Linked DNA regions of Caenorhabditis elegans. The protein of the gene in region 1 interacts with the protein of each later gene in a pairwise test. Each region holds a gene or a part of one and is shown on either strand. Other genes may lie near its edges.

Region 1 (4,663 bases):
CAAAGTTTTTTTTGGTTGGTTTCTTTCGAGGCTATAGCAATTTTGGAGCTTTTTCAATGTTCAAACCAGAGATGTGCGGCAAAAAATATTTGTCCGCATAGTTCGGGAGATGCATTTTGCCAAAAACCCAGCAGTTGTCTTTTTTCAGCAACTTATGGATTTCCTTTTTTGGATATACAAATTTTCACTTTTTAAAAATAATAAATTAAACTCATTTTGTGAGTGTTTGTATAAATAGTTTTCGACAAATTGTAATTTTCGGGTGAAAAATCTGAACAAAATTGAGTTAAATTTTTAAAAACTCTTAAATTTCTAGAAAGTAATGTAGTCAAAATTTAAAACCTTTACTCTAGATTGAAAACGAACAGATGTTTTTCTGCAATCAAATTAATTAATTTGCAACATTTAAACCTCTTGACGTACTGAAATTGTTCTTTTTTGTTTATTTCCTTGTTCTCTTACAATTGGCAAATCTTTTGTTTGAAAGCAGTAACACATCATACTTTTCCAGACTAATCTCTTCAATAATTTCTATGAGTTTAAAATGAATTAAGACAAAGGTGCAAGAAAGATATGACATCATTTGACCTACATGCTTCATTTTAATTTGTATACCGCTTCAAAATGATATCATTTCAGAAGATGATGCGATTTGAAACAAAATTTGAGAAGCCGTAGTGTATGTAGTAGTTTTAATTAAATCAAATCATCTTAGTATAAACTGCTTCCGGTTTCCGGAATCTAAATTCAAATCAAAATTTTTTTGACTTGACATTTTTAGAAAAATGGCAAGAAACTGATCTAGAGACAACCAGACATCAGTGATCAGCTCCGATTCTTGGTTTACTTGGACTGAACAAAATACGTAAAACAAAGAAATTAACGAACGAATCTTTATTGTGCTTTAAAAGCATTAGTTGCAAGGAAAAGAACACTTGGAGGGTAGCTCAGGCTACTGTAACCATGATTTTATATTTTTGTTTTTTAGGTTTTCTGGGGAACTTTCAAATCTCCACAGGAAGATCCAAATCTGGGTGTTATTCGTTTATTCAGTGTCTTCAAAGATTTTTATCGTTTTGCAAATAACCTTCATATCCAAATTTATGCAACAATTTTGGGACTGGCGGATTTATTTCTAAACAATTATGGGAAATTCAATATAATAAAAATGTTCGAGCCTTATATATATTAAAAGTGCGGAAAGTTTGTATAAAAGTGGTGCCGAATTGCCGAGAAGGTTTTGAAACTCTCTAGCGTTTAAATTTCGACTGAAACTTAAAAATGGATTATCGTGTATTTTGGCAGTAGGCACGGGGCAGGCATATATCGCCTTGCACGCGGACAGACAGTCTCATGAAAAAGTTATCTTTCAGTTCTTTTTACCAACCTTAAATTTACTATATATTATTTTAGAAAATATCCTTTTACGCGCAATTTTTTGAATAGAAAGCTTCCTATGACATTTAGCAGAGTTTAAGAAAAATTTAATTTCTACATTTCAAAAATTAGAGAATTTTGTATTGTCCAGGTATTATTTTTTGTTTTGAAGCACTATTTCAAAATGAGTATCATTTCAAGTCATATAAGAAATGAGTTTAATTTTGATCAGCTTATCATTGAAACCGGAACTCTTGCAAAAAGAAAACTTAGATTCATAAATAGTCGCATCACTTATTTTTTTAATGTTTACTTTTCATTTCAAGTTTTTTATAAAGTTCACTTTCTAAACACTCCATGAACCATGTATACTATAATAGTTGTTTGACTCCGGAAACTGTGCTCTTTCATTAATTTGTGGGCGTGGTCATGCTCTTCATTGCGTTCGAAATTTCAATCTTCCTACTGTACTTGTGGGCGTGACCCCGGACTTATAAAAGAAAATTCCAATTGATACATCAATCACAAATTTAATTCATCGTTTTCAGCCATGAAACTACTTCTTCTGGCTCTGTTTCTGAGCATATCCGCAAGTTGCCTTGCAGAAGATATAACAAAAATTTCTGAAAGTCGAATTCCGAATGAGGATGCTGTACCTGATTGTTAGTTTTTTTTTTCTCAAGGTCTTTTTAATTCAATAAACATAAAATATTTTTAGATGAAGCAAAATGGAGGCTCGGAGCAATTCAAAAATTATGGAATGAACGACGAAAGATGGGACACACACCAATGACAAAATTCAGTCCCCCTGGTTTCCCGAACGCCGACATTTTCTTCAAAAATGAAACTGCCACAGCTACGAGAACGTTGAAGCACAGATTTGCATGGGCTCTTCTTCTTTGGGCTATTACAGAAGGTTAGTATGTTATTTAATTGGTGAAGTACAGTGTATCTGCGAAAACTTATATTCTGCAGGTTTTTTACTGCTAAGCTATGAGTATGAGAGCTATGAGTAAGCTAGTCCAGAAACGTTAAATAAATAACATTTCTCAAAAAAAATTTCTGCAAATTTTAAAATTTCCAGGAAAAGTGACTTCAAAAACATCCGCTGTCTACGACTCAACATCTGGTAATACTGGGTCTGCTGAAGCCTACATGTGTACTTTAGTCAATGTCCCATACTATGCTGTCGTTGCTGATAATTTGGAAAAGGAGAAAGTCAAGCAAATTGAGAGTTTCGGAGGAAAAATTATCAAGGTACTTCTTCTACTTACACAGAGTCACATACAGTATTTTTGGTTTAATTTTCATTTAATATTGACCAATTTTTTGAGTTAGCCAAAGTTTTTCCAGTTTTTAAGAACTCTAACCCCAAAACTTTCTCATTCAACTCAACGCCAATTTCTTATAAAATTTCTTTATAGAGAAACAACTTTTATTGTGTGAAATTTCGCGTTAAAATTTTTAAAGATGAGGGAAGCGTTGTTAAGAAAGTTGGAAAATGTCGAGAAAGAAGCAGAAAAATAAAAAAAATTATTGTAAGTTTTGCTTTGTTTCAGGTTCCTGTGGCTCTTCGCAATGCAAAAGCTAAGGAATTCGCCGACAAAAACCACGGATTCTACATGAATCAATTTGGAAACGCTGAAAAAGCTGAAGAATTCCATGAAAGTGGAGACTTTTATTTTGAGTCCACAAATGTCTATCATGAAATTATTGTTCAACTCAAAAAGGACAAAGAGCAAATTGTCAAAATCCCTGACTACTTTGTTCATTCAGCAGGAACCGGTGGAACTATTTCGTCAGTTGGCAGATATGTCGCTAGATATGGAGCACCTACAAAAGTCGTACTCTCCGATTCTCAATACTCTTTATTCTACGATTATGTAATTGGACATAAATTCACAAATCAATCTGGTGCAGGTATTTGGACACCTCCAGGGATTGCTGGAATTGGTTACGGATATGATATTGAACCAGTGTGGTACGGAGAAACAACAAGTTTAACAAGAAATGTAATCCATGAAGCCATGAAAATGCCTGATATTGCATCAGTAGCTACAATGAGAATTCTCGATGAAAAAGGTTATAATGTGGGACCGTCAACATCACTCAACTTCCTTGTTTCTCTTTACAAAGCCTATCAGAACAAGTAAGTAATTCAAACTGACATCATTGCAAACTAATCCGTCTAGAGTATTTATTCGTTGTCTTTTGACGACTTAAGCGTTTACTAGTACATTTAAATTTTTGCGTTAAAAAATATGTTTTAATAGTTTAGTTTACGCAAGCGTATCAATATACCTTGCGTATACCTTGGCTATCAAATCTTGATGAACACAATTTTCAGAGCCAGAAAATCTGCTATCAAGCATCGTCTTACGATTGTTACACTGGCTTGTGACCCAGGAGATTTCTACCGTAGTACGTACCTTAACAACGAATGGGTCGAGAAAAGTTTCAAGAAGTTTGGAGGTGTTATGGGAATGGAATGTTGGAAAAAGCTGATTCAAGAATCAATTGATACGGGTTCTGATTTCTATTCGAAAGGTCTCACTATGTGTCCAGGAGCTTTTAAAGTTTAACTGTTTTGCATTTCTGTGTTTTTGTGTCTCTCCGTATTGTACAGGTTCGTAATTGATCAATTTTAAATTAGATTGTTTTTTTCGAAAATAGAACTCATAGTTCCAGTGATTAAGTCTATTCCCGTGCATGAGTTTTGTGCTTGCTTTGATCTGTATTCAAGTTTAATTGAATAAACTATTTATTATTTAATTATCTGAAAACGCAAAAGTTATAATATTTGCACATAAGGCAAATATGAAAATATACACAACAAAAATTGACCAGTCGACGCCGCGAACAACAGGTTGATCAAGAAAACCATATTGAAAATCAATTGAATCTTTTTTGCGACCATCCGGTGTGTAGATGATTCCTGAAAACAGAAATTGTGATTTTTCAAAGTTCTAAAAACTGACCTGTCAATGATCTTTTCGAACAAATGAACATTTTCTTGCAAACTTCACAATATGTTGGACATTGCACAATATGTGTTGAATTATTGTCAAGAAAAGCCAACCCATCGTAAAGAGGACAGCTGACAACTTTATTTCCGATCGAAAATTGAAATATTTCAGTTTTGTTGCAAACTTCGTTCTGAAATGCGGACTTTACTTACATGGCGAAAATTTTAACTCACTTGAATACGGTACATTCTAGTTGTCTTGGAAACAAATTTAGGAATATCTCCCGTTCTCATTAAGGAAGTCAATATGTTAACTTCATT
Region 2 (5,142 bases), on another chromosome or scaffold:
CAAACGTAAACACACAGGCAGCCATGGTGTATACACGAAGGTGGACCCGCAGGCCCGTTGGTAGGCATGAACTAGGCATTTAATAGATGCCTTCTAACCATAGAGTAGGCACACGGGTAGCCATAAAGTAGACGTCTAGGTAGGAATAAAGTAATTATGTAGGCATGGATGCCTTACGTAGGCATGCATAAGGTAGACACGCAGTTAGGCTTGATAAAGGCACAGGTAGGCACTTTGCGAGGCAACTCTTATTCCACTAACTTCTCAGCAATGACCACATGATCCGTCGATCTCAATTCAGCACGTGTCTTGAGGTAAGTGTTCAATGTTTTCACCGTCTCAATTGTGACTTTTGGATCGACATACATCTCTCGCCATTCGGCTTCCAGCACTTTCCGGGCAAAGTTCGGAGGATCTTCCGGTTTTCGGAACAGAGATCCCGCCATGCGATACTGAAAATGAGTACATAAATATCAAATTATAACCGAAAAAGTAGGCATAAAGGCGACCTACGCCTGCCTCATGGCTGCCACTTTCATCAAGCATTTGGAAGTAGGAAAGTATAATTCTGGGCATAGTTTGCTCTCTGCAACACCTTTTCCGAGTACGGTAGCTTCCCAGGTCCGCTAACACCATCAAGCATAACTTTACAGCATGCCTAAATAGGCATGTATTAGGCTCCATTTGCCGGCAAATTGCAGAAACACCGCAAAATGCCGTAGTTCTCGTGGTTTTTGCGTATTTTCGAAGGTACAGTAACCCTGAAACTGTATGATGCGCGATACTCCAATGCAACAGTCTGCCGAACGTGTAATAGTATCCAAAAAAGTTCAGAAATCCGGAATGTATACCTTCTTATCGATATTTGCAGCATCAACTGCTAATTTTGACTTGACTTTCTCGAGCTGTCTCTGACTTTCACCCGATTCTTCAGATTCTTCAGAAGTTGAAGAATCTCGTGCCTCTTTCTTCTTCTTTCTCTCCTTTTGCTTCTTTTTATCCTTCTTGTTCTTCTTTTCAAGACTATTCTTCTTCTGAGTCGATTTTTCTTTTTTCTTCTTATCCGCTTTCTTTTTCCGTTTATCGATTTTTTTAATTAAGCGATCCTGAACACCGGTATTCTCAGATATTCCTCAAGCCTTTTGATCTTACCATTCGTTTTTCTTATACTTCTCGAACGCTGGTTTTTGAAGCAAACACCAACTCGGACCACCGTAAAATTGAAACTGAATTTTATTTGTTTTTTTTTCAAAACCTTCCCCCCTTATCTCCACATTCAATCTATTTAGCACTCACGCTTTCAATACTTTCAATTAAAAAAGGCGAAAATTATTTGTTAAATAAATAAAATTTATTCTCGCTATAGTGTTTAAACTTTAATTTAAATTTAACTATTTAAATTTGACTATTTAAATAATTTCAGACCCAATTCTTTCCCTTCACTGTTCAATTTAAATCGAGAATAGTGGCGCCGAATTTCTCTGCGACTACGGTCAAAAATTGCGGACTTGCCGCGTACACCATGACGCGCAATTGCACATGTGACATTTTTCTAGAAGATTTTCAATTTTTTTCGTCAAAAAACGTTCATTTCACCTCAGTTTTTTTAAGTTGGCTGATGAAATTATATCCAGAAATTTAAAATTCAAACCTATTTCCAGTTTCTGTCCGCTCTGCACTCAGATTTAGCATTTTAGGTCGATTTTCAGTGTTCTTGGTATCATTGCATTTTAAAATTCTTCGAGAAGATCCCGAATAACCGAACAGCTGCCAATGTTGCTATTCCAATTTTCTTTCGTTCATTTTATTCATTCCTCGAGAATATTCTGCGGGTTTGATATCGAGAACATTGTTTCGAAATGCTGAATTTCGTTTCTTTTTCTTATTTTTGAAAATCAATTCTCTTTCAACAACTTATACTTAAATAATTTTCTCTTAATTAAAATTTTTAACATGCTAATATTTTCAGTGTCTGTCAAGACGGAACTTGGATAAGAAAATGGCGCAGTCATCTGCGCAACTACTGTTCGATGAGAGCGGGCAACCGTTCATCGTTATGCGTGAGCAGGAGAACCAGAAGCGTATCACCGGAGTTGAAGCTGTGAAAGTATGTAATAATTATTTTTTTAACCGGAACATTTAGTTTCTAAATGTTATGTTTTCATGTTTGACAAGTCCTGAAGTTTGTTCTTAAAATTAACTTCATTATTTCAGAGTCATATTCTTGCCGCTCGTGCTGTGGCCAACACTCTTCGCACATCTCTCGGTCCACGTGGACTCGACAAGATGCTCGTTTCTCCAGACGGCGATGTCACCATCACCAACGACGGAGCCACTATCATGGAGAAAATGGATGTGCAACATCACGTTGCCAAGCTTATGGTTGAGCTCTCCAAGTCTCAAGATCACGAAATTGGAGACGGAACCACTGGTGTCGTTGGTGCGTTTTTTTTTTTGGCAGAATTCAGCGCGCACCTCGTAAAATTAGATAGCTTAAACTTATTATGATTATCATGTGAGAGTTGAATATATTTTAGTTTAGAAAACCTTTCCTAATATCAAGTAAATTCCTAGCGAAATTCTTTCCTCTGGTGATTCTCTATGAACATTTTTCGATTCATGTCTAGAAAATGTCCACATTTCTCCCTTTTCTTCGTCGTAACTAAACCGTGTTTGCTTTCCGATTTTTCCTTTTTTGGTCGCTGTCCTTCATTTTCTTCTGCTGTGTAGTTTCGTCTGCAGCATAGTTTAAAATTATTTCGGTTTAACGTTTGAAATTCACCTCAACTACGTAAACCATAATCTTGATAAACTTCGGAATAGCTTTGATAGTTGTAACAAGATTTTCATTTTAAAAAAGCAAAGAGTTGATGTTATTGTCTGAGCTTGTGGATACAGCCGGCAAATCGAAATTTTGATTGCAGGATTTTTTGTAAACGTCACCAGCAGCTGCATTTTAAAATGCCATTGAGAAGCAAATTCGTGAGCATTTAGAGTAAAAGAACTGAAATGTTCATTGATTTTTTCATAAAATGACCGTATTTTTATGATGACTATGAGAAGCGCACCTATTTGTTGACGTCATAAACCCGGAATAAGTCTGAATTTCGAGACAATCAGTCTGAGTCACTCGGCAAAATTGGTTATCGATAATTTTTCGTGCTGGTTATAAAAACGAACTCTGTACACATGAAATTCGAAGTGAAACGTGTTTCATCTGCAATCTTTTCTTTATCAGTATCACACATTAAATCGAAATACTTTCTATCGAAAATGTATATTTTGTTGTCACCCTCTGGTCATTCATGATAATTAATTTAAAAAAAAAAGAACCCTTAGCCGTTCCTTTAAAAGTTTGAAATGTTTGATCTATGAGAAAGTGCGCCTGCTCGTTGTCGATCGTTCTAACTAAACAATCCATTTGCTCTCCTTTTTCGCTGTGCCCGACGCTCCGACAAAATAAAAAACGAAAAGATTGCTCATTTTTCTGATGGTGTGAGCACACAAAAGCCAACAGTTGAATGGGAGGTCTGTCGATTCTCCATGTTCTTTGATTCTTCATTGTTTCTATCTGCACCTTTCTATGACGAAGAAATACACGATAAGCTATCTTTCTTTCATTTTTTCAAGTGAATGTTGACCTCCAGACCTTGGAGTCTTAACAATTCTCCGTTTGCACCATTTTTCTTACGTAACCATATGTTTGCGAAAAACGTGGGCAAATATGGTATCGTATGAATTGCATCGTTAAAAATTCCAGTTCTTATCATATTGTGTTTCTTTTTTGATAACGATTGATGTCGACCCGTCGATTTAGAGCGTCTTTATGGATTTTTGATATATTTTTTGTGTGAAATTTTGTCACTTCAAAGTTTGAATTGCCATAAAAAATTTATTTCGCAAAATTATGCGTCGGTGGAGAATTTCTAGTGTTTCTTATTCCAAAAATTGTGAGCCCTCATGCTTGAGCCACTTATGTCTTTCATAATTTTGATGCAATGTCGCTGTCCGATGTCGTCCAGCATTTTTCCTTCCATTTTTTTCCCGTTTCCTTCGATAAATAATTGAGTGGTTGCTGTGGGCGCGCGCTCCTGCGCGCTAACACTCATTCTCTCACAGCGTCTCTTTTTTCCTCTCCATTTTCTATTCCCTTATTTTATGTCCCATAACAAGTGTTTCGTTTTCCGTTGAGTCGTAAGAGACAGAAGAGACGATAATTAGATTGGTGTGACCGACATGCAAGTGTGCACGCTTCATCGCTCTCTCCATCTGAGCAACATTTTCCAGAAGAGAAACCGAGTCATTTTTGATGTGAGATGCTTAAATGCAAGACTGGTCAAATTCTCTCTTCACTCTATATCTTTGAATTTATGATTTGATGGAAAGAGATTGGTTATTCATAAGATTGTCAAGCTCATGTTTTTCCAGTGCTTTTGGATTATTTAGGCTTCTTTTTCCGAAAAATCTTTCCATAACGTTAATTTTTTCTAAGAGGTTTCAAAATTTTTTGAGGTAGTCAAACTTTGTTGACAGTGTCTAGTTTCGCGTTAAATTCCATCGAAATCAAGATATGTCCAAATAAATTAGGTGTTTGATTCTTTAGAAAATCTAATTTCTAGGTTGATGTTTGTGATATCATGTAATTCTAAGTTGGGGAGCGATATATAGTTTCGCTGGAAAAAAATAACCAAGCAGATTAGAAAATTTTCAGAAAATAGTGAAAATCACGAGGTCATTTGTTTTTTTTTTCTTATTGTTCTTCTGGTTCTGATCGTTGTCGCCTCTCCCTCTTTCAATCCATCATGCGGCGCCGATTGACAATTCTCAATTGTGTTTGTCACAACAAAAATTCAATTGTCGATTTTCCTTTTTTGCCTCTCCCCAACCTGAGGATCAAACGGTTGCTGAAAAGGTCGTCAGGGGCGACTGGTTTTTTCCCACATGTTTTACTCGTGTCATCATCAGATTATGCCCTCACTTGGCCTCGTTTTTCCGCGTAGAATCGGCAGAAAATCGATCGAATTAATAGAATCACGATTTTTTCTCTTCATTTTGTGTTTATCTATTTCTTCAGTAATTTATGATTTTATAATTTGGTTTCGGAAGTTACGGAAACAAAAATTCCGTTTTTTCCTGTCTCCG

Evidence for each region.
Region 2: the proteins of F13B12.4 (region 1) and cct-5 interact in a two-hybrid assay, tested with the Caenorhabditis elegans proteins (one large-scale study listed by BioGRID).

Annotation. Positions count from the first base shown.
Region 1 is NC_003282.8:10,444,067-10,448,729, reverse strand, and holds F13B12.4 (Putative pyridoxal-phosphate dependent protein F13B12.4), read left to right. Parts: upstream 1-1,925; 5' UTR 1,926-1,927; coding exon 1,928-2,039; intron 2,040-2,095; coding exon 2,096-2,293; intron 2,294-2,461; coding exon 2,462-2,634; intron 2,635-2,936; coding exon 2,937-3,526; intron 3,527-3,724; coding exon 3,725-3,959; 3' UTR 3,960-4,145; downstream 4,146-4,663. Other genes in the region: F13B12.7 (Neprosin domain-containing protein), read right to left, coding at 4,146-4,312, 4,356-4,533, 4,577-4,636.
Region 2 is NC_003281.10:4,504,942-4,510,083, reverse strand, and holds the start of cct-5 (T-complex protein 1 subunit epsilon), read left to right. Parts: upstream 1-1,969; 5' UTR 1,970-1,999; coding exon 2,000-2,107; intron 2,108-2,214; coding exon 2,215-2,440; intron 2,441-5,142. Other genes in the region: F25F2.1 (Protein kinase domain-containing protein), read right to left, coding at 262-452, 852-1,106, 1,153-1,155.